Saccharomyces cerevisiae S288C: one gene and its partner. The protein of the gene in region 1 interacts with the protein of each later gene in a biochemical or structural test. Each region holds a gene or a part of one and is shown in the gene's direction. Other genes may lie near its edges.

Region 1 (11,238 bases):
ATCAATGTGGTGTCTTGATTGCTCAATTTTTGAATTGAGTCCATTACTCTTCTCTTCCATTCATCTGCTTTTTTATCCATGAAAGCACCATACATGCCATAGTCATTTTGTGAGGATGGTACATAGTAAGTATTAGCGTCTAAGTTAGGTAACTGTCTGTTCGGCAACGGTGGTGGGGCAACTCTTTTAGCATTGTTCTCATCTTTATTACGGCGTGACATTCTTATACTTTCGGTTTGCTCTTCTGTCAACGATGGCTTTTGAGTGGAAGGAATGGGAGGTGGTGGTGGTCTTCTCCTGGTACGTACGGTAGACTTGGTCATTTGCATGGGCCGTTGTTGTAATTCGATGATATTGTTCACTTCATTCATAACTTCTTCATCATGCGATGGGACATCACTCATGGAATTAGAGCAACATCTTATATAAATAGCCAGAATCTGGTTCGGAAATTGTAAAGCCGTAGTGGTATACGCTTCTAAGTCATGTTCACCAGAATCACCGACCAAAATAAATTTTTTTTTGGGAAAATCCTTTAAGATATTTGCAATCGGCTGAATTTTTCTATTCGCACTTGAAGTCATGATAGTGGAAAAGAAATTACCAGAGTATTGTTTCAAAAAAATTGGACCCGGAGGAAAATTGGCGCAAATATATTGTTTCAAAAGAGTAAAAGTTTGGATGGGTGAATTAGAAACATAAAAGAAATCAACGTCTGCGACATCATGTAAAGTTTTGTACCAAAGAGGAACACCATCTATTACCCACGATTGAACATCATGGATGAAAACATTACGAAACATCGATCTCCTGTCACCCGTAACGCCAGTATGCTTGATGGTGTCGTCAATATCACTGATTAAACCAATACCGTAGGGCGAGACATAATTGGCCGGAAATGTTTCAGATATGGGATCTGCATGGCCTTCTATAGGGGTATCTAATGTAATATTAATCTTGGACGGTAAAAAATCTGTTTCTGCCTTGATTAGTAAATTACCATAAGAGTCCGTGGTACCAAAAAAGGAAGCCGTATCCCCTCTGAGCTTATCTTTGGGCAATAGGTCAACCACCACTGGAGTATTAGGAACTTTTTTGGACAGGAATCCTTGAATTCTCTCATTCAGAACATCTTCCTCTTGGATGCCCATATGTGAATACCTATTTTCGCTCTTTGAAGACAAAGAACTTTCTATACTTGATTGGGAGTCGTTTAAATCTCCAGAATCCTCTTCGAGATGAGGGGGAACAACAGGTGCAACATCGGCCTCCGCCGTTCCAGTTCTAAGATATTGTTTACAAAGAGAAAGCAACCACCTATTTCTCCTGCTTGTAGGATTTCCTGGATAAGAAACAGCACATCTGACAGTAGTTTCAAAATCTTTCCGAGGCGCACTCAAACCGTCAGGGTCAACCAAATTAGTTGTGGTATACGTTGGAAAATATGTTATCGTGGTATTATGTGGCAATTCCATAGGCAAGTCATTATAACCTTCGAAGGAATTCGTAGTGCTCCTGATGCCATCCATTGTCTTTTGAGAAATGGATGACGTCAGGTTAGGAATATAAACATCCTTTGTGGTTCTTATGAGATTCATAAACCGTTGTTTCTTACCCATTCGTGGGTCTCCAGAAGTAGGACCGCTAGTAGCAGCAGTAGAGGAAGAGCTTTCATCGTAACCTTGACTATTCATCTTTTTATTCCTTCTCCAAAGCAATTTTTTCCCCCTTTGACGGAACTTATAGCCAAGTTTCAATGTCCTTGTCTGTGTTAATGGTCCCAAGAAAAGACGGCGATTACTAGACAAACTCTTTATAGCCAACAAACCGACAGAGCTAGAGAAACATATGACACTGTTTATTGAAAGCCTTGTGCAACCCACTATTTGCGATATATATGCCTTAATGATGCTAAATTTTTGCCCTGGATCACGAATAGTATAACAGCTTCGTATACTTTATGTCTCGTGGGCATAAAAAGCCAAGAAAAGATACACAAACCAATCACAATGAACAAGCTAACCGTAAAGGCGTTGCCACCCTATTCTAATGCTTTATCTGTCCGAGAATTGTTGGTAACCTCGTTTGGAAAGTTAGACCGCGCCCTCATCATCATTTGCGCGACCACGTGACCCGCTGCGGCTGCGGTTTGCGCGAAGGTTACAATATCTTCCTACTCGATGACTTTTAACCTTTGGATCAAGAGCACAACGTTCTGCCTGAACTCTTATGCTCATTTTGTGCATACAAGTTGCCTTTTTGTGCCATATTAGGATATATTGCCTTCTGAATAAAACTATTCAATTCTCATCACTTCCGCAGTTAGAGAACGCTTTTATGGCATATTGTTACAAATCATCGCTAAAAAAGATATAAACAGTGACTAATTAGCGTCAGCGCAATTTTTTTGGAGAAGTTATAGAATCAAACAGAGAAAGGGATTGAAACCTCAAATTTTCATCAGATGGTGCACATTACTCTGGGTCAAGCGATATGGGTGTCAGTTAAGCCGATAATCAAGATTTATTTGATTATAGGAGTCGGCTTTCTGATGGCTAAAATGGGAATTCTTACGGTTGAAGCAACAAGAATTATTTCTGATATCGTGCTAACAGTTTTACTACCCTCTCTGTCATTCAACAAGATTGTCGCTAATATTGAAGATAAAGACATCAAATCTGTGGGAATTATCTGTCTGTCTGCCCTCCTAATATTTGGTTCTGGGTTCTTTTTTGCATACGTTGTTAGGCTATTCCTGCCTGTTCCTAAACAATGGTACGGTGGTATTCTTGCCGGTGGTATGTTTCCAAATATAAGTGATTTACCAATTGCATATTTACAATCTATGGACCAAGGGCTTGTATTTTCGGAAGAAGAAGGTAACAAAGGTGTGGCTAACGTCATTATATTTCTGACAATGTTTCTAATTTGCATTTTCAATTTGGGGGGGTTTCGACTGATTGAAAGCGATTTCGAGTACAACGACGATGAAAGCGCCGTTAGGGTTTCAGAAACGACAAAGACACAGCCCGCAGTAAGTGCAAACACAACTAATACAGATACTAGCGAGCGTTTCTTCTCAAACGAACAACAGCTTTTCAACAATAAGTACACCGCTCGCGATAGTCTCACTGAAGCTATAGGTACAAAGGGTGAAAACGCAGACGTACCACCAATTTCAAGGAGATCAACAAATAGTATAGCTCCCCTGTCACTACCAGACACTTCTTCGAATTCAAAGATTACAAAACCAGTTCAGGTGAAGGCAAGAAATACTATTGCGTGCACTCAAAGCGAAGAGTCACAGGCAACTCGTGGTTCAAATCCATTAGATAGCCAATCATCTGCTTCAACAATACATTCTTATAATACGTCAGAGAGTTATGAGAGTAGCATAGATACTATGAGAGCACGTAGAACCGCGAGCCAGCCGAGAGCTTACAATACTACCACACTCCTAGAAGAGAACTGTTTAGATGAAAAATGCCCAAAAAATATGTCTATGGCGGCATTGGAACCTATCCGCTCCATTGATATGCGTGCATTACCTTCTCAAAATATACACCATCTTATCAGAGAGTACTCCAACGTTGACCAGTATGGTCATCAAAGGAGGAATTCCAGTTTACGCGGCGCTGATATGAATGATGTGCATTCAATTAGCTCAAATTCCACTTTACAGACTATAAAAACTGCTAACCTAACCAGGATCTTAACATCAGATGCCACTGTAAGTAAAAAGGATATTGAAACATCCGGCGAATCATTACCACAGTGGATGAGAAAATTTTCATTAACTCCATTACTTGTGTTTTTCCTAAAGAATTGTTTGAGACCGTGCTCTATGGCCGTGATCATCGCCCTAACTGTTGCATTTATCCCATGGGTCAAGGCTTTGTTCGTGACTACCGCTAATACTCCTCACATAAGCCAAGCTCCTGACAATGCACCACCATTAAGCTTTTTCATGGATTTTACAGGTTATGTCGGTGCCGCATGTGTTCCATTTGGGTTGATATTATTAGGAGCAACTTTAGGAAGATTAAAGATTGGCAACCTTTATCCTGGATTTTGGAAAGCCGCTGTGACACTCGTCATTTTGAGACAATGTGTCATGCCAATTTTTGGTGTCCTATGGTGTGATCGGTTAGTGAAAGCTGGATGGGTTAATTGGCAAGATGATAGAATGCTACTATTTGTTATAGCAATCAGCTGGAACTTGCCAACGATGACTACCCTTATATATTTCACCGCCAGTTTTACGCCGCCAGAAACAACTGCGCCAATCCAAATGGAGTGTGTTTCATTTTTCTTAATGCTGCAATACCCGCTAATGGTTGTTAGCTTGCCATTTTTAGTGTCTTACTTTCTGAAAGTACAGATGAACCTTTAGTTTTAATCCATTAAACAAAAAATTATTACCACTCCTAATCACTGTTTTAGGGTGGGTTAAAATTAACATTCTCCATTTTTATATAGAACTAATAAAAAACACCTACTTATAGACACGACCAAACTTTCCACAACCTTTCATCAGAGAGAAATGTTGATCAAGTTGAATGCGTGAAAGTAGCAATTCGAAACAACAACTACCTGTCATTCTGCATAGTAGTAGTTACGAAAGGCACAGAAAATAACAAAAAAAAAAAAAAAGTCAATTTTCTACGGTCTCCATCCGTACCTCTTTAAATCCGTACATTATTGTTTTGCTTAATTTCAATATTTCGGAAAAAGCGAGCGCCCTGGTAAAATGTGGTTCAAGCCTGCGAGCCTTTGCTTGGTAACTCACCAAATGCAATTCAGTCACGTTCCACACAGTTTGGGTTTCCAGCCTGGCTTTAGGGAAGAATGGGCTCACTAGGCGTTCATAATACGCGGAGGGGGAAATACCAAATGCTATTGATTATGGTTAAAATATGTGTTATTTGACTTTGTATATACAAACAGAAGAGAAACCAACACACTAAAGACTAGACACATAACTGACCAATGTCCTCTGTCCAATCCAAGATCTTATCCCAAGCTCCAAGTGAGTTGGAATTACAAGTCGCCAAGACCTTCATCGATCTAGAAAGCTCCTCTCCAGAACTAAAGGCTGACTTGAGACCATTGCAAATCAAATCTATCAGAGAAGTATGTTAAAAGTTATATAATTTGGAAGCAGCAACATTGTGATTTCTTCTAAAGGGGTTCTTTGCAGTAATTTTTTCAAAAAAGAGTGATTTTGAGCAGTATCTGTATGAAATTTTCATGTGTTCGAGAAAAATAGTAATTCCGAGAGCTGTCAATACCATGAACGTTGCGATGAGCCTTTGAACTATAAAGGCCTCCTTGGTCAGTACCAATATCGATGAATAAAATAGAAGCACGCGAAAAAGACCTTACCCCAAGGAGAAGAATCACAAACCCTTTTTTGTTATGAATGAACCAATTCAGTTACTAACTTTATTTCAACGCTGCTTGATTCTTATTGTTTAGATTGATGTCACCGGTGGTAAGAAAGCACTAGTCCTTTTTGTCCCAGTTCCAGCTTTGTCTGCATACCATAAGGTCCAAACCAAATTGACCCGTGAATTGGAAAAGAAATTCCCTGACCGTCATGTTATTTTCTTGGCTGAAAGAAGAATCTTGCCAAAACCATCTAGAACATCTAGACAAGTCCAAAAGAGACCAAGATCCAGAACTTTGACTGCTGTTCACGACAAGGTTTTGGAAGACATGGTTTTCCCAACTGAAATTGTCGGTAAAAGAGTTAGATATTTGGTTGGTGGTAACAAGATCCAAAAGGTTTTGTTAGACTCCAAGGATGTTCAACAAATCGACTACAAGTTGGAATCTTTCCAAGCTGTCTACAACAAGTTGACTGGCAAACAAATTGTTTTTGAAATTCCAAGCCAGACCAACTAAATAGTGAGATAACTATCATTCTCATCATTTGTCATACTTAAAGAAAATAATATTAAGAAAAAATAATAAAAAAAGAAACATAGTTATGAGAATACAAAAGGAGGTTTCCAAAAAGTGGGCTTTTTTAATTCGAGTAAAATAATTATGAATGTATACTTAAATATATTTTGTATCTGTCAATATAGAGATGCTTTAATTGGTGTTTTGACATTTTGGAATACATATTGGGTTGATTTCCCAAGTTCTCGCTGCAATCAGATAAAAAGGAAAAAAAATAATGGTTGCTAAGAGATTCGAACTCTTGCATCTTACGATACCTGAGTATTCCCACAGTTAACTGCGGTCAAGATATTTCTTGAATCAGGCGCCTTAGACCGCTCGGCCAAACAACCACTTATTTGTTGAAGAAAAAGCATTATTTATCGCTAGACAACGATACGTCCATCAACAACCGTTAGTTCTTTCACATTGATATGCGGATTACTTATCTGAAGGAAAGGAAAAAGGCGTGGAACAAGTGAGCATTAACATAACCATCTGAAATCTTAGATGATCCCAAGTATGTGTAATTAGATCCGCCTCTTCGCCCAGCACATTGTCCATGCATTATCTGCTTACCTCTACGCGTACCTTGACATGGCGTGTTACGTGTTTCAACTTTGTATAATCAGAATTTCATTTGAGTATATTTTACAAGTCAAAAGCCCAAATGACGTATACTTGAAATAATTGAGGCACGTCCAATTGTGAGTGGCAAACCTTTTTTTCGGTATTCTAGATAGAGCTAATCGCGTATTTGCAATTATAGTTTACAATTCTTAGACGATTTCCGAAGAAAGTTAAAAATGCCCTTGAAAAAAAAATATGTAGGAAAGAGTGCATGCACATGAAGAAGAAAGAAAGAGCTAGGGAAAAAACGAAAAAGGAGCCTAAGGAAAAGAGTTAGGCGTTTACAACAGGACGAACCCGGAAGGAGAAAAGTTTGTAGTCTTGCAGTATCACAAACAGCAACCACGTTCATAGTCTGAAATACGTACAAATGAGTTCACCAGCGAACCTATTCCCTGGATTAAACGACATAACTGACGTGCTGGAGGAATTCCCACTGGCCACCTCCAGATATTTAACATTACTACACGAAATAGATGCAAAATGTGTGCATTCTATGCCGAATTTGAACGAGAGGATAGATAAGTTCTTGAAGAAAGACTTCAATAAAGATCACCAAACACAAGTAAGACTGCTCAATAATATCAACAAGATTTATGAAGAACTGATGCCATCGCTGGAGGAGAAAATGCATGTCTCATCCATTATGCTGGATAATCTAGACAGATTGACGTCCCGGTTAGAATTGGCGTATGAAGTCGCAATCAAGAACACAGAAATTCCTAGAGGTTTAAGACTGGGTGTGGACAACCATCCAGCAATGCACCTCCATCATGAACTAATGGAAAAAATAGAGAGCAAATCAAACAGCAAATCGTCGCAGGCACTGAAGAGCGAATCAAGAAGAGAAGCCATGGCTGCCAACAGGAGGCAGGGCGAACATTACTCCGCCAGCACACACCAACAAGACGACTCAAAGAACGACGCAAACTACGGAGGCAGCAGGCACGAGAGCCAAGACCACACTGGTAACAACACAAACTCAAGAAAAAGAGCCAACGCTGCCAATACCAACAACGCCGATCCAGAGACCAAAAAACGCAAGAGGAGAGTTGCCACCACAGCCGTTTCACCAAGCACTATCAGCACGGCAACTGCCGTCAATAATGGCAGGATAGGTACATCTACAGCGTCCAGGGGAGTTAGCAGCGTCGGAAACAGCAACAACAGCAGGATATCAAGACCAAAAACCAACGACTACGGCGAACCGCTCTACTGCTACTGTAACCAAGTGGCATACGGGGAAATGGTGGGGTGTGATGGCGCAGACTGTGAGCTAGAATGGTTCCATTTGCCATGTATTGGACTCGAAACTCTACCTAAGGGCAAGTGGTATTGCGACGACTGCAAAAAAAAACTGTGAAATAGCTCTCGGGCGAATATCGCCTTAAGGAAATATCTACTAAATACCGAATATATACATATATATATATCTTAGCTACATATATATATATCTTAGCGTTTTAACGGGCGTGGCCGTATCAATGGATCTGCAAGATACTTGGGCCCTACCGGTCTAGATAAAATATTCAAATCGATGGTGATGACGGCACGATAAAACGTAATAAATGATGAAATGACTTGTCACGGCGTAGCAGCGCCAGCAGCTCAGTCTAATCGCCGTACAGTGGGTGGTGTGGCTAATCGCTTAGGCTTTTTATTCAGAAGGACCTTTTCATTCACCTCGCCCCCCTTGGAGGTTCCTGCCTGACCCCTTTGCCCCTGGCCTCGCCCCTGCGCCATGTCTCTGCCTGGAGCGTGACATTTAGGACGGTGAAGCTAGGCAGGCCTTCAGAAATTAAACGGAACATGACAGCAAAGACGAAACAAAGCTGGAATAAGGGGATCTGGGAAAACGGGAAACAAGGTTCACATCAGCAAACATTTCTACCGAAAATCTGGGTAAACATTTATAGTACCCCAACATCTTAAGTTTTAGCCGTTGTCTTCTCTTATCGCCTAGAATCGCTCATTTCAAGCGTAACGCAATCCGGCTTTTGTTTTTTTTCCATTTTATTCATCCACTCTTTATCTGACTCTTCTGCACTATATTAATCAACTAGGAGAAAATTACTTGAGCAGAAAGATACGAGAGAATTACGGATAAAAAAACCAAGTTAACCGTTTTCGAATTGAAAGGAGATATACAGAAAAAAAAATGCCTTTGAACAAGTCGAACATAAGAGAGTACAAGCTAGTCGTCGTTGGTGGTGGTGGTGTTGGTAAATCTGCTTTGACCATACAATTGACCCAATCGCACTTTGTAGATGAATACGATCCCACAATTGAGGATTCATACAGGAAGCAAGTGGTGATTGATGATGAAGTGTCTATATTGGACATTTTGGATACTGCAGGGCAGGAAGAATACTCTGCTATGAGGGAACAATACATGCGCAACGGCGAAGGATTCCTATTGGTTTACTCTATAACGTCCAAGTCGTCTCTTGATGAGCTTATGACTTACTATCAACAGATATTGAGAGTCAAAGATACCGACTATGTTCCAATTGTGGTTGTTGGTAACAAATCTGATTTAGAAAACGAAAAACAGGTCTCTTACCAGGACGGGTTGAACATGGCAAAGCAAATGAACGCTCCTTTCTTGGAGACATCTGCTAAGCAAGCAATCAACGTGGAAGAGGCGTTTTACACTCTAGCACGTTTAGTTAGAGACGAAGGCGGCAAGTACAACAAGACTTTGACGGAAAATGACAACTCCAAGCAAACTTCTCAAGATACAAAAGGGAGCGGTGCCAACTCTGTGCCTAGAAATAGCGGTGGCCACAGGAAGATGAGCAATGCTGCCAACGGTAAAAATGTGAACAGTAGCACAACTGTCGTGAATGCCAGGAATGCAAGCATAGAGAGTAAGACAGGGTTGGCAGGCAACCAGGCGACAAATGGTAAGACACAAACTGATCGCACCAATATAGACAATTCCACGGGCCAAGCTGGTCAGGCCAACGCTCAAAGCGCTAATACGGTTAATAATCGTGTAAATAATAATAGTAAGGCCGGTCAAGTTTCAAATGCTAAACAGGCTAGGAAGCAGCAAGCTGCACCCGGCGGTAACACCAGTGAAGCCTCCAAGAGCGGATCGGGTGGCTGTTGTATTATAAGTTAATAAAAAGGAAATAGTTGTAGAAACGCTAAGACGAAAAGAACTCTATAAAGTTGAAACGAGTACACACATTTATAAATATATACAAAAGTAAATAAAAAAGTGACTGTTTTTATATTGCTTATTGCCATTTGCTATTTCCGTTTCATTCTTGTTAACATTGGAAACTTTGGGCAATATCATATGGTTGCCGGGTAAAGGAAAAAACAAACAACATCGCTATAACATAAAATTGGACATTGCAGAGAGTCATCAATCACATCCATTTTCACAAGAAAGAGGTGTTCCACCTGGAATAACAAGCTTCTCTTTCCCCTTAGAATGACATCTAAAGTTGGTGAATATGAGGACGTTCCAGAGGATGAGTCCCGCCTCACAGAAGAGAACGTATCCGTACCTGAAGAAGAAGTAGAAGACGAAGACGAGGAAGAAGACGACGATGATGATCATATATATATCAATGAAGAAACAGAATCTGGTCGCGAAAAGGTCTTGGTATCACATGCCCCACAAGAACGTATCGTTCCACCTTTGAATTTCTGTCCCGTTGAAAGATACCTCTATAGATCTGGTCAGCCTTCACCTGTGAATTTCCCCTTTTTACTAAACCTAAAACTGAAAACAATTATATGGCTGTCTAACGAAGAACCTCAAGATACCCTCCTAGAGTTTTGTGATACTCATAGAATAAACTTACAATTCGCAGCCATCAACCCGGATGCCGGTGAGGACGATAATCCATGGGACGGTCTCACTGAACATTCTATAATTAATGTACTACAAACGATCGTCACTCAAGAGAATTATCCCTTGCTAGTGTGCTGTGGTATGGGAAGACATAGGACTGGGACAGTCATTGGATGTCTCAGAAGAATAATGGGTTGGAACTTAGCCAGTGTATCCGAAGAATATAGACGCTTTACTGGTAGCAGAGGTGGTAGAATTCTTGTAGAGTTGCTTATAGAAGCTTTCGACACTAATTTAGTAAAAATAGACAAAAATAAAGCACCAAGTTGGTTACTGACAGCTTTGGAGTAGAGGCAAGAAAAAAAAAATGCAAAAGATAAAGAAAAAGCACTGAGCTTTATGACCATTTACCTAAAGTTTGAAATGTTTCAGGATGCACGGCCCATTCGCGAACCAACTTCTAAAGATCACACGAAATGAAATTCAAAATAAATGAAATTTATTTAATGGGTAATTTTATAGAATATTAATTATCCGATTTATATATGGACATACTTACTATGGACATGATAATGAACAAAAAAAGATATCCGCTTGATATCATGCTTGCTCCAACTTTTCATAAAGCTGTTCCCTTGCATACCTTATATTTTTTTGTAATGTCTGATCGATTTGACGTTTTAAATCACATTTCTTGGCAACATATCCTTCCTCATAAATTCGTTTCCAAGTATTGTGATATGACTTGACGAAATCAGCTGGCAGTAAATCATTTTCAGTGGCATTGACCAAATTCTGTGATGTCTGTGGAGCCCAATACTTGAATGTAGCTGCTGCCAATACCCATGGTA
Region 2 (13,322 bases), on another chromosome or scaffold:
CTACCGTGAAGTATATGTAAGGGTCTTCGCACCCGGATATCCCTTGTGGGATCTTGGATGCGGATGGTGAGTGTAAACAGGCCTCATAAAGCTGTCTCTGTGTGCGGAAGATGTCGTTTCATCGGCTTCGACCTCCTCCTTATCTTGCTTCATTGTTTCTTCGTAAGAGGGCGGATCTACGGGCAGCGGGGTCGCTGTCTCCTTGTATGCATGCTTATTTATATCACTCTTTCCGCTATCCATCATAATCTGTTTTTGTTTATGTGCTTTGAATACTCAACACATAAAATAATATCCAGTTAATTGTCGTCTGTCCATTGACGCTTTGCCTTTGTCCCTTTAGACTGTCTTTATTGTGAAATATGCACGGCTGAGAATTACGTATACAGTGACTATCGTATGGGGCGACAAAAGTTCCCAGCGAGAAACAAGATGAAGCAGACTGGGGCCTGCCTGTATGGAGGGAAGCATAAGTTAATATACCTCCAGATATTTGCAGATTAGGATACTGAACTGACGAAGACCTACGCTACACAACGAAGATAACACATGCTGGCACAAACATTCAAAAAACCACACAGAGCCGTTCTAGAACAGGTATCTGGGACCACGGTCTTCATCAGAAATAAGAGAACAAAGAGCAAGAGCTCACTGTCACCTTTGGCACAAAGGGTCGTCACGCAGTTGAGTGTGATGTCTGCAAGCAGAAAGCAGCCCAAGTTGCTGAAGCTGGCGCGTGAAGACCTGATTAAACATCAGACCATTGAGAAGTGTTGGTCAATTTATCAGCAGCAACAACGGGAGCGCAGAAATTTACAGTTGGAATTACAATATAAGAGCATTGAGAGATCTATGAACCTTCTACAAGAACTCAGCCCTCGTCTGTTTGAGGCTGCCAATGCTTCCGAGAAGGGCAAGCGATTCCCGATGGAAATGAAGGTGCCCACTGACTTCCCCCCAAATACGTTATGGCATTATAACTTCCGAAAATGATAGCGTGAGCGAACGCTTGACTGTCTCCTGCTGTAAATAACTGATGATCAATAGAATGCCACGTATATATGGACTTATATAATTATATGTACATAGACATATAAAGGGCATGTGGTAATTATGACATGAACTGTATCACTATTGACGTTTTTTTTACTGCTTTTTCCCATCCCTGCAAGCGAAAAAAAAAGCAAGCTGACTCTTGTATAAACTGCAAGGACTCATTGATTAAAAGTAGATTTACATTACAGACTAAAGGAAAAGGCAAACTATACCGGCTATACCACATTCGTTCAAAAATGCCCTCTACCACGCTACTGTTTCCGCAGAAACATATTAGGGCCATTCCAGGCAAGATATACGCGTTCTTCAGAGAGCTCGTCAGCGGAGTTATTATATCCAAGCCAGATCTAAGTCATCATTATTCTTGTGAAAATGCGACAAAGGAGGAAGGCAAAGATGCAGCAGATGAAGAAAAGACTACCACAAGTTTGTTTCCCGAATCAAATAATATAGACCGTTCTTTAAATGGTGGCTGCTCTGTGATCCCTTGCTCCATGGATGTCAGCGATTTGAACACGCCAATATCGATCACACTATCTCCTGAGAATCGTATCAAATCAGAAGTAAATGCCAAGTCACTGCTCGGATCAAGGCCAGAACAAGATACAGGCGCCCCTATCAAAATGTCTACTGGTGTCACAAGCTCTCCATTAAGTCCATCAGGCTCCACCCCAGAACATTCCACCAAGGTCTTGAACAACGGCGAAGAGGAGTTCATTTGTCACTACTGTGACGCTACTTTCAGGATTAGAGGATATCTAACGAGACATATTAAGAAGCACGCCATCGAAAAGGCGTATCACTGTCCATTTTTTAACAGTGCCACTCCTCCTGATCTTAGATGCCACAATTCGGGTGGTTTTAGCAGACGCGATACTTATAAAACTCATTTGAAGGCAAGGCACGTGCTGTACCCCAAAGGTGTTAAACCACAAGACCGTAACAAGTCGTCCGGCCATTGCGCTCAATGTGGTGAATACTTTTCCACCATTGAAAATTTCGTTGAGAATCACATTGAGTCTGGGGACTGTAAAGCTTTACCGCAGGGGTATACCAAGAAAAATGAAAAAAGATCTGGAAAATTAAGGAAGATCAAGACATCTAATGGTCATTCTAGATTCATATCCACTTCGCAAAGTGTTGTAGAACCTAAAGTACTTTTCAACAAGGATGCCGTAGAGGCTATGACCATAGTGGCTAATAACAGTTCGGGCAATGATATTATATCCAAGTACGGAAACAACAAATTAATGTTAAACTCGGAAAACTTTAAAGTCGACATACCCAAGAGAAAGAGAAAATATATCAAGAAAAAGCAGCAACAGGTATCTGGATCGACGGTAACCACACCAGAGGTAGCTACACAAAACAATCAAGAAGTGGCACCTGATGAAATCTCATCCGCCACAATTTTTTCACCTTTTGATACTCATCTACTCGAGCCCGTCCCTTCTAGTTCATCGGAATCTTCCGCTGAAGTTATGTTCCATGGCAAGCAAATGAAGAATTTTTTGATTGACATAAACAGCTTCACAAATCAACAGCAGCAGGCACAAGATAATCCTTCGTTCCTGCCACTCGATATTGAACAATCTTCATATGATTTGAGCGAAGACGCAATGTCATATCCCATCATATCCACACAAAGCAACCGTGATTGCACGCAGTATGATAACACAAAAATCTCACAAATCTTACAATCACAACTAAATCCAGAATATCTCAGCGAAAATCACATGAGAGAGACACAACAATATTTGAATTTTTACAATGACAACTTTGGGTCACAATTTTGATTAAATATAACACGGGATAAAAATAAGGGTATCATATTGGAAAGCCGATGGGTAAAAATTATTGAGTTAATAAATGGAGACAATATTAAAAATCAGGTAACAACAAATAAAAGGTTATAAATGTACTGCTGTATACTATATAAAAACTTTTAGCATGACTAATTAATTTTCATACTACTATGTTAAATAAACCAAGTGATTGCAACACCAATATTTTATTATTGATCTTCAGCGCATAGAGTCGATTCGTAGATATTATCACTTTTGACGTTTGTGATTTCTTTTTCATGATTGATTACCGATGATGCTATAACAAATAAAGGTCAAATTTTGAAAACAATGAAAAATAAGTAGTAAACAAATAAATGCACATTTATTGACACTAGTAGAGTGTAAGAGGAAAGTAATTTTTAGAACGCTTTATACACCTCTATCATTTATTTTTTTTTTGGTAAAAAAAAAACAGTAAGGTGTTAACCATATATCATATTCTGCCATGGCTTATGATGAAGATGATGGAGAGATAAATTTTAATGAACTTGTGGGGAACTTACTAAGCTCACATAACCAAGAGGGACAAGAGGAAGGAGAAGTGCAAGGAGGAGAACAGGAAGGAGATGATTTTGAAAAAATATATCCTACCAGTGAAAATATAGAACCAAAGCATCCAGATGACAGCCAGCATATGCATAATTCTCCTGACCAGAATATCGAAATACCACATTTTGTCGACGAAGAAGATGAGCTAGTATCTGTCGTTGCAAATGCGGTTCAAAATATAGACGATGAGCAAGCCAAACCGGAAAATCATCTGGAAAATGGATCAGAACATGTAACATCGGATACAGCGGATGATAATCACGAAAAAGAACAACAGCAAGAATGGGCTCATATCTTACAGCAGGAAATATTAAAATCAGACGGAGAGCCCTTGCGGGAGAATACAGAAAGGCGTGTAAGCACTAGTCAGCACCATCCCTCTCAGCGTACTGATGACGCTCTCGACCAAGATGATGAAAATTTGAGGATGGCTATCCTAGAGTCTCTACAAGAATTAAACACAAATGAGGAGGAAGAGAAAGAGCCGGAAAAACATGAGCATGCTGCCCCGAATGATAAGTTGAGCAGCAAAAAATCTTCAAAGAAAAAGAAAAAAGATAAATCCAAGAACAGAGAATCATCAAAGGATAAATCCTCAAAGAAGAGTAAATCTTCGAGCCATTCCAAAAAGCATGCCAAAGACCGTAATAAAGAAAAGCAAAGTAAACCTACTAATAATGAAAATACCCTTGATTTAAGTAATATACTAGAAAATCTGATTCATGAAAATGACAATGCTGCAATAGACACTGCCAAACAAACAGTTGATATTCAAGATAACTCCCATACTGATAATACAAACAACGAAGATGTGGAAGCGCAAGCTTTAGTGGAAGCGACACTAAAAGCATTTGAAAACGAGCTGCTAAGCTCTGCGCCAACCGAGGAGCCTTCACAAGAACAGTCGATTGGGCCTGTATCTTCTAGAAAAGCAGTTGAACCACCACGAAAACCGACTGCAGACGATATTCCATTGGCTATGTTACAGGCTTTTAAACCGAAAAAGAGGCCTCCTCAAGAGAAGAAAAAAACAAAAAGTAAGACATCCAAGGCTGCATCTACAGCAAATAAATCACCTGCATCTGAATCTACCTCCAAGAAAAAGAAAAAGAAGAAAACTGTAAAGGAAAGTAATAAATCTCAAGAAGCTTACGAAGATGATGAATTTTCCAGAATATTAGCCGATATGGTTAACCAAGTGGTTAACACTTCATTAAAAGAAACATCAACGCATACTGCCACACAGGATAATAAATTAGAAAGCGAAAGTGATTTTACTTCCCCTGTACAAAGTCAATATACTACTGAGGATGCAAGCACAGCTAATGATGACTCGCTTGACTTGAATCAAATCATGCAAAACGCAATGGCTATGGTTTTTCAAAATCAAAACGACGATGAATTTGATGAGAACATTGTTGAAGACTTTAATCGTGGTTTAGGCGATCTGAGTGTTTCCGATTTACTGCCGCATGATAACCTTTCTAGGATGGAAAAGAAATCGGTGCCTAAAAGTTCGAGCAAATCTGAAAAGAAAACAGCTATATCTAGGAGAGCTTCCAAAAAGGCATCTAGAGATGCCTCAAGTGTAGAATTGACTGAAGTACCTTCAAAACCGAAGAAACCTTCCAAGACAGAAGTATCTTTAGAAAAGAAGTTACGCAAAAAATACGTCTCTATTGCCAACGAGGCTGCATCTGTGGCTAGAAAGAAAAGATGGGCTAAAAACAAAGAACTAAAGGAGAAAGAGAAACTTGAACGCCAAACTGCCAGAGAGGAAAGGAGACATAAAAAAAAACTAGAGAAGCAGAGGTTGGCTGAAGAACAAGAGGAACTGAAAAAAATTGTTGAACGAGGTCCACCTTATCCCCCAGATTTAAGACTAACTAAAAGCGGTAAACCAAAAAAACCATACAGAAGATGGACTCCGGAAGAGCTACTGAAACGATCACAGGAAGCTGAAAAACCGAGGAAGGTGAAAAAGGAAAGAAAGAAAAAGGAAAAGAAAATGAAGGTACCTTCATCTGCTTTGAAGAAAATTCCTCTCTTCAACTTTGTAAAGGGTAATGTTCAGCCAAGTGCAAGACATCGTCTGAATGACATTGAAGGTTCGCTATCCACTATTGGATTACATAAATCGCCTGACGGTGTCCGCAGGATTCTTTCGAGACCAAAGAGTGAAGATCACGAATGGCCCCTATCAGATTCATCTGCATCTCAAAATTACGATGCACACCTAAAAACTGTAGTGCATAAAGAAAAAATTCCTTTCCATCCCCCATGGACTATACCGTCTCAACCACCATTTGCACTACCCGTAGCTAGAAGAAAGAAAATACCAAATATCAAAAAGTATAGAAAGAGAACCAATAATTCTTTTCGTGTCTCCAAAGAAGGTACGGCAAGTACTAGGAACAGAATTTTACCGGCCATATTACTACCGATAATAAATACATTAAAAGCTGCTGCAAAATCGCAAACAGCTGCTGGCGCCACACCTGAGGAGGCAAGGAAACGGCTGGCAACCATTATTCAACATGCCAAGTCTACAGTTATTAGGGCAGCTTTACAAGCAAGGAAAAACAGTATGCAAGCCGCTCATTCTAAGGGAACTACCACAGAACTGGCAACAACTGCGTCTCGAATGAAGAATCCGCTGAAAATGATTCCTATTTTCAATACATCTCGAGTGAAACAACAATTAGACAAACAATTACCGGCCAGAAGTGCAGGAACAGAAATCAGCAGCTCTGAATCCCCTGATAAAGCCACGCCCGATCCCCACTCTAATTCTACAATCGCTGGGCATACTTTAAAGGGCGTTACTACGCCAATTAAAATAGAAGACAGCGATGCGAATGTTCCTCCTGTTAGTATAGCGGTTTCAACTATAGAACCATCACAAGATAAACTAGAACTTACGAAGAGGGCAGAGAGCGTAGAACCTGTGGAAAATAATGTTGAAACAGCGAAAGAAACCCAAAGCGTACAAGAAATTAAGGAGAATGTCGGTACCAAGGCTTCTGAGGAAGTTACTCTAACTGAAGACAAGACAAATGGGGATCCAAAAAATGAAAAGAGGATATTAATTGAATCTCCTGTCGAAAAAACGGATAAAAAGAAGCCAGGTGAGAAAATTGCTACAGATTTGAATGAAGATGCGAGCCTGTCTGATAAGAAAGATGGAGATGAAAAGTCTACATTGCATTCTGATGCAGCCCAACTTACGGGTAATGAACCAGACAGTGTAAACACGACAACAGGAAAGCCCAAATTAATTGATGTTTCTCTCAAACCGTTAAATGAAGCAAAACCAAAAATTCCCATCATATTTCCCTTAAAAAGACCGCAAATTAAGCCTGAAGTTAGCGTTATTAATTTAGTTCAAAATTTGGTAAATACCAAAATACCCGAAATAAAGAATGAATCCGTTGATTTGGGAAGTAATATCACCGACATTCTTTCCTCTACTATCACTAATATTCTGCCCGAAATCACAGCCACTGATGTTAAAAACTACCAGTATGAAGATGAAAACGTAAAATACCTGAAAAAAACACCAAGACAGGTTTTGAATTTGGATGGACTAGTGCCTCCATCGGGTAGATGTATTACCAAAGCTAAACGTGTCCGCCGCATTAAAAAGCTTTCTGCTGACGCCACTACCGCACCGGAAGCCGATGGAAAGGCAAACAGCGAATCCATTACTTACACATTCGATATACCATCTCCAGAAGAGGTACAAAGTAAGCGTAGTGTAGTCCTAAAATTTGCCAAGGCTAGATTGACCGAGGCGGAGTTGAGTTGTCTAAAGAAGGAGATTAACAATGTGAGGAAACGGAGATGGAGAGAGATGAACTCCACCAAGAACTGGGAATATGACGTAAAGTCTAGATTAAAAAAGCGTGCGAACGCATTTTTTGGGGAAGGAGAATCAGAAACGAAGTCTAAATGGATCGAAGAAAGATTTCAAGAAAAGGTAAGTCAAGAAAAGTACAAGGATCGCCTTGAAACTACTGAGACGCAAGCAAACAACACGAAGATTGTGATTGACGACAAGGAGATTTTGAATATTCTTGCGGTAAACATGAATAACCTTAACAAAGCACGCTGTATTGAAAAAGATATTCAAGAGTCGTTCAGGGAGGAGAAGTTAGCCTCTTTACAACCAAAGAAGAAGAGAAAGAAAAGCATTTTACACTGAGGTGTTACTAGACATAATTTAGTTCATATGTCCATTTCTGCATAATCATATATACTTAAAGTAGCAAATGTATATAGTTTTTTCTTCCGATTTTCGAAACTAATATTAGTATTGGAAATCGGCCCCTGCCATTGTGCAATTTACATTATTCTATAATTAAGCAAACGTGATACGTGGATGGTAATAATAGTTACAGTTAAAGTAAGACCGCTTAACATCATTCCAATCTGGCAATTGCTCGTCAAGAGAATATCTGGTGTAATCGCATTTCATACCATATGTAGCAACATCGATCTCAACAATTTCTTTATATACATCGTAACACAACGATCTGTCAGCGCCTAATCCGTTGAAAAATGAGAAAACGCCTTCTGGTTTAATTAAACCTACCACGACATCGTATAAGTCCAATATGTCTTGGTAGTGCTCGCTAAATGTATCATAATAAATACCATCAAAGAAAACTTCACCTTTGTCTAATAAATTATTCAACGTATCTTGCCATCTTCCCTCTAAAATAACCACATTATCCTTTTCATACCAACCATCCATTTTCATCTTGGCCAAAACATCTGGATGAGCTTCGCAAATATAGTGACGATATGGTTTTCGAGCTTGGATGAATGTATCGATGATCCCCATTCCAAATCCAATGTTTAAGATCGTAGCAGAATTAGTGGCCTCTGGATCAGGAAATAAGGTTTCGGAAGCAAGTTCCATAATCTTGGTTTCCCAATCCATCATAACACCGTCCTTATTTTCCTTTGTGATAAGCGCATCGTCTTTGTACTCTAGTTCTGTTTTTAAGTACACTTGTTGATTTGCCGCGGTAGCATCGTCATCACTACCAACTGATTCTTCTTTTTGACCATCAACTGCTGTTTGAACGCTTTCCTCAGGCTCGATACCTATTAGTTCATCTGTATCCAAGAATTCGACGTCGCCACCATTGAGTTTTCTCAGTAATAATTCAGCAGACACACCAGCTTCCACGAGCCGTCTATAAAGAGGGCTCTCCCTACTTTGATTTCTCTCTAAAAACAAATCACCCACTGTTTTGTCCTCGTAGTCAATAAAATTCCATCCAGCCCCATACTCAAAAAGAATATTCATCATATCCATCACCACTTGCAGTTCCTCATCCTTGATATCCAAGGGTAGCGATCTTGCTAAAACGTGTAACGGCGTTGTGTTTGAGGTTTTATTGTCGTCAGTGCTCTCTCTGAATTCCTTATCCCCGTTCCTGTTCTTTTCCTCATGCTCGAAGGCTGCGACCTGCTCCAAAGTATATGTAGCCGGTATACCAGATTTTAAGAAATGCTGCAGTTTTGGTACATAGTAACTTTGAGAAATGGGCCTCTCTGGGAAAGTAAGCAAAGCATGTAATTCTGACATACTTGAATATATTAAAAGTCCTTGGTGTAAACACCTAGCCGTTGCAACTGCTGGGTATTGTCAATGTCATTTTGCTTTACGCTTAGCTTAAAATGAGATGAGATGAGCTTTGAAAAATTTTAGAAAAAGAAAGGTGCCATCGATTCTCGCCGAAAAAGGAAAAGAATCGTTATAATCCTTCGAATCCTATATACACTAAACAAATATCTGCATTGGTCAACCCCAAGCACACGTACTGATGACTAGAGATGATACTGAAAGTGTTAACAATATAACTTCCTTACTCGCAGCTAATGTCACATATTGAGGTAACAATGGATCGAAACAATTTTCATGCTTACCCGCGCGGTGATTTCTTGGTAGCGAAGGGGTTTTCATGAAGGCAGCAGAAGAGAGGTACATTGATTTGAAAGTGTGAGGAAACAGAATAATAGTGCCTAAAGCCTAACCCAAGCAAGTAAGCAGTTCTTCCACGTCTTATCTATTCAGAGGCTGAAACAATTGAGTGAAAATTTAAAGAGTAGGTGTGGGACATTGGTATGACATATGACGTCTAGGAAAAGGTCTCCGCACGATTTCATATTTAAAGAGGAACTGGGCCATGGCTCTTACTCTACTGTGTTTAAAGCTCTAGATAAAAAAAGCCCGAATAAAATTTATGCCATTAAAGTTTGTTCGAAGAAACACATAATCAAAGAAGCTAAGGTAAAATATGTCACCATTGAAAAGAATACCATGAATTTGTTGGCACAAAAGCATCACGCGGGTATAATCAAACTATACTATACTTTTCACGATGAGGAAAATCTTTATTTTGTTTTGGATTTTGCCCCAGGTGGAGAACTACTTTCCTTATTGCACAAAATGGGTACTTTCAATGATATATGGACGCGTCATTTCACTGCACAGTTAATTGATGCATTAGAATTTATCCATTCACATGGCATCATTCATAGAGACTTAAAACCGGAAAACGTCCTTTTAGACAGGGATGGTAGACTTATGATTACTGATTTTGGGGCCGCTGCCACCATAGACCCTAGTTTAAGCGGAGATTCGGCCAAGTTTAACTCTGACAGCAACGGCTCAAAAGACAACCAAAATTGCGCTTCCTTTGTTGGTACTGCCGAATATGTCTCTCCAGAGCTGCTTTTATACAACCAATGCGGTTATGGCTCAGATATATGGGCACTAGGTTGCATGATATATCAGTTTGTCCAAGGACAACCGCCGTTTAGAGGGGAGAATGAGCTGAAGACATTTGAAAAAATCGTAGCATTAGATTATCCATGGGGACCCAATAACCGCATCAATAATAGCACATCACCAATAAATCCCCTTGTAATAAACTTAGTACAAAAAATATTGGTGATAGAGGTCAATGAGAGAATCTCTCTCGAACAGATAAAAAGACACCCATATTTTTCAAAAGTAGATTGGAATGATAAAATCAAAATATGGAGAGGAATCTGGCAATCACAAGGACAATCGCTGCAACAAACTACTTTGGGACTCCCAAATATACCGCAGAATATACTACCCACCAGACAATTACATGTAATTGACACTCCAGCACGAAGTATACAAATCACAAAACAAAAACGTAAGAAACCAACGAAAATTTCCAACACTACTAGTAGCATAGTAGTATGGAGAAAAAGGCTTGGTATATCAACAGGTAAGGATGATTTAGGCACCGTACCGTCCACTACGCCTGCAGTGACCGCCCCTAATGATACCAATGTATTAACAAATACGGCGGCACATTCTACTGCAAATATTGCCTTACCGCCTAATTCACAATCCAATCAAGTCAAGCGAGCACAACTAGTTGCACCAAATAGAATACCTCCCAAAGTACCGGTAATTAATGACAACGTGAGAAATAAGTCAATTCCGCGCACAAAGCCTAATGTGCCACCTTTGCAAACATCATCAATACCACAAAAGTTGTCAACATCGTCAGCATCGTCAGCTCTATCGGCGCCGTCAACAGAGATAAGGAACCAGGACTTAACACACACTTTAGATGGAAGAAACTCAATTGATATTCATGTTTTAAAACAAGACTACGTCTTCATTTATGGCATTCCATATGAACACGAAGGGCCTGCTATGTCTTTGAACAGCTACAATAAGATCGATAATGATTTAATTACGTCACTAGTTGCGCAGCATAAAGAAGAATTAAAAAACTCAGAGTCGTTTTTACAGGTATTGACTTTGAAGAAGAGCGGAATGTTAAGTTACAAAAACACAGTTATGGAGGGAAATGATGATCAAGAAAACAAAGAACACCAGATGGCTAATATAGAAGATACAGACTTGTCCATGTACGATTTTGAATTCAATGAGTTGACAAGGAAGGGTTTTTTAATCCTGGAAAAATATAAGAATAGAATATGGTTTATCTCGCTACCTTCATATTCAACGTTATCCAAAATACCATTCAATGCCGTGAAGTCTTCGACAATAAATAACAATGAAAATTGGGTCGATTGCTTTTTCAGAGCAAGACAACTACTAGAAGAAAAGCAAATTCTTGATAAAATCAGTAACGTTTCCTTTGATAGTAAGGCATCGAGTGAACCATCATCACCTCCGCCTATTTCAAGAAAAGAGCGGCCTCTGAGTATAGGAAATAATGTAACAACACTCAGCTATACTGCAAAAAATGGAAGCCAGAACAATGCACCACAAAACGATAATGTTGGAGAAGAAAAACCTTTTCGCATACCTAGTAGTACCAAGGATAGGCCCGGTGCAAATTCCACTCCTTCTTCAAGACATCCTAGGGTTTTGTCAAGCAATAACGCTGGTGAAACTCCGAAAAAAATGAATGGAAGATTACCAAATAGTGCACCTTCTACCAATACATATACCAACGGTTCGGTCCCAGCTTTTAATCATAGGCCTTCTACTAATGTAGGGAACAATAAGCATAATATTTTAACTTCGAAGAAGCAGGGATCATCCGTATTTTCTCCTTCATCTTCTACGACCAAGCCTCAAATCAAAACAACAGGATATCGACAGCCAACACCTTCACCTCCACTTCCGCAAATGGAATTCCCAACTACGAGAGAAAAGTATTCTGCTCCTTCTAACATGGTGATCAGTAGCAGCAGATACGAGGTCTTACATACCCTTAATAACAGCCAAACAAACTTTGATAGGGAAATTGCTAGTAGGGGTGCCTCAGCAGCATTTAGAAGTTTACAGAAGAGTAAGAAAAAAAAATAACACGCTTTAATAATATTTGTGGTTCCTCTACTTCGAAACAAAAAAATATGCACGAGTTGTTGACGATCCAGAAAAACCAACATATAAATCATATCCAAACCCTTGTAGCATTAATATCCGTATCACTTATGTATTCAGAATGCATGTATTTTATATATGCCCAGTATATCTTCGATTGAAGCTCTTCGGCATTAGTGCATTGTATTTTTCAAGCAATGAATGCCAAAACTAATAAAACTATCAAGACGACAATAAGAAGTCCTATACAACAATCGTCGTATTTTTCTTTATTTTTTTCGTAGACCCATTCCAATTGCCTACGACCTCTAGCCAGCTTATTTACAACACCGTCCATACCCTCGTCCATATTATCCAACAATTGTCCCTGGTTCTCTAATTCATCCCCCATTGTTTGAGCTTGAATATGCAAATTTTGCATTGTCTTGTGAATACCATCTAAATGAACATCTTGTTCTCTTAACATTTGTTCCTGAAACGGATTGGACATACCACCATCATTGTTCTCAGCCATGCTGGTGTTAAGTGTTGAATTTTCCACCGTCTCTTCTAGAGGAATAGTTGTTTGAGTAGATTCCTGTATTCTTCGATCAAAACGCAACTTCAGAGCATCAAGTTGCTGTTTTATATTTTTAACTTGTGCTTCCCTACCACTCACGTCTTCGTTTTCATCCCTTTTCATTACGATTATGCTTCTGTCCAAATCAACTATTGTTTCCTCAACATCCTTTAAAATATCTTGTATTTCCTCCTCTTGATCGTCATCACCAGCAGTATTGTGACGAGTTATGTAATTGTTTATGCGGTTCAATTGCTCCTTGGTGTCCTTAACAACTTGTTGAAACGGATCTTCACTGTTGTTCATTTGTTAAAGAAAGGATCTTAGCAATACAATTTTACAGTTAAACGTCTTTCACGTTTACTTCAGTTACAGGGAAAACGTAGAAATTAAAATGTTCACAAACCTTGTCAGAAAGACAGCAAATATAATTTTAGTATATGTTCTGTGT

The links.
Region 2: the proteins of OCA1 (region 1) and PKH3 form a complex in vitro, tested with the Saccharomyces cerevisiae proteins (one large-scale study listed by BioGRID).

The regions. Positions count from the first base shown.
Region 1 is NC_001146.8:438,067-449,304, reverse strand, and holds OCA1 (putative tyrosine protein phosphatase OCA1), read left to right. Parts: upstream 1-10,021; coding exon 10,022-10,738; downstream 10,739-11,238. Other genes in the region: phosphatidate phosphatase APP1, read right to left, coding at 1-1,694; YNL095C (uncharacterized protein), read left to right, coding at 2,465-4,393; 40S ribosomal protein eS7 RPS7B, read left to right, coding at 4,990-5,133, 5,479-5,907; PHO23 (Pho23p), read left to right, coding at 6,947-7,939; PLS1 (Pls1p), read left to right, coding at 8,386-8,508; Ras family GTPase RAS2, read left to right, coding at 8,735-9,703; MIC27 (Mic27p), read right to left, coding at 10,988-11,238.
Region 2 is NC_001136.10:1,385,524-1,398,845, forward strand, and holds PKH3 (protein kinase PKH3), read left to right. Parts: upstream 1-9,597; coding exon 9,598-12,294; downstream 12,295-13,322. Other genes in the region: CMI8 (Cmi8p), read right to left, coding at 1-243; mitochondrial 54S ribosomal protein mL40 MRPL28, read left to right, coding at 550-993; STP1 (Stp1p), read left to right, coding at 1,293-2,852; SPP41 (Spp41p), read left to right, coding at 3,349-7,656; RMT2 (protein-arginine N5-methyltransferase), read right to left, coding at 7,813-9,051; TLG1 (Tlg1p), read right to left, coding at 12,503-13,177. UniProt on the Saccharomyces cerevisiae protein: Serine/threonine-protein kinase which may phosphorylate the same targets substrates as PKH1 and PKH2, 2 upstream activators of PKC1.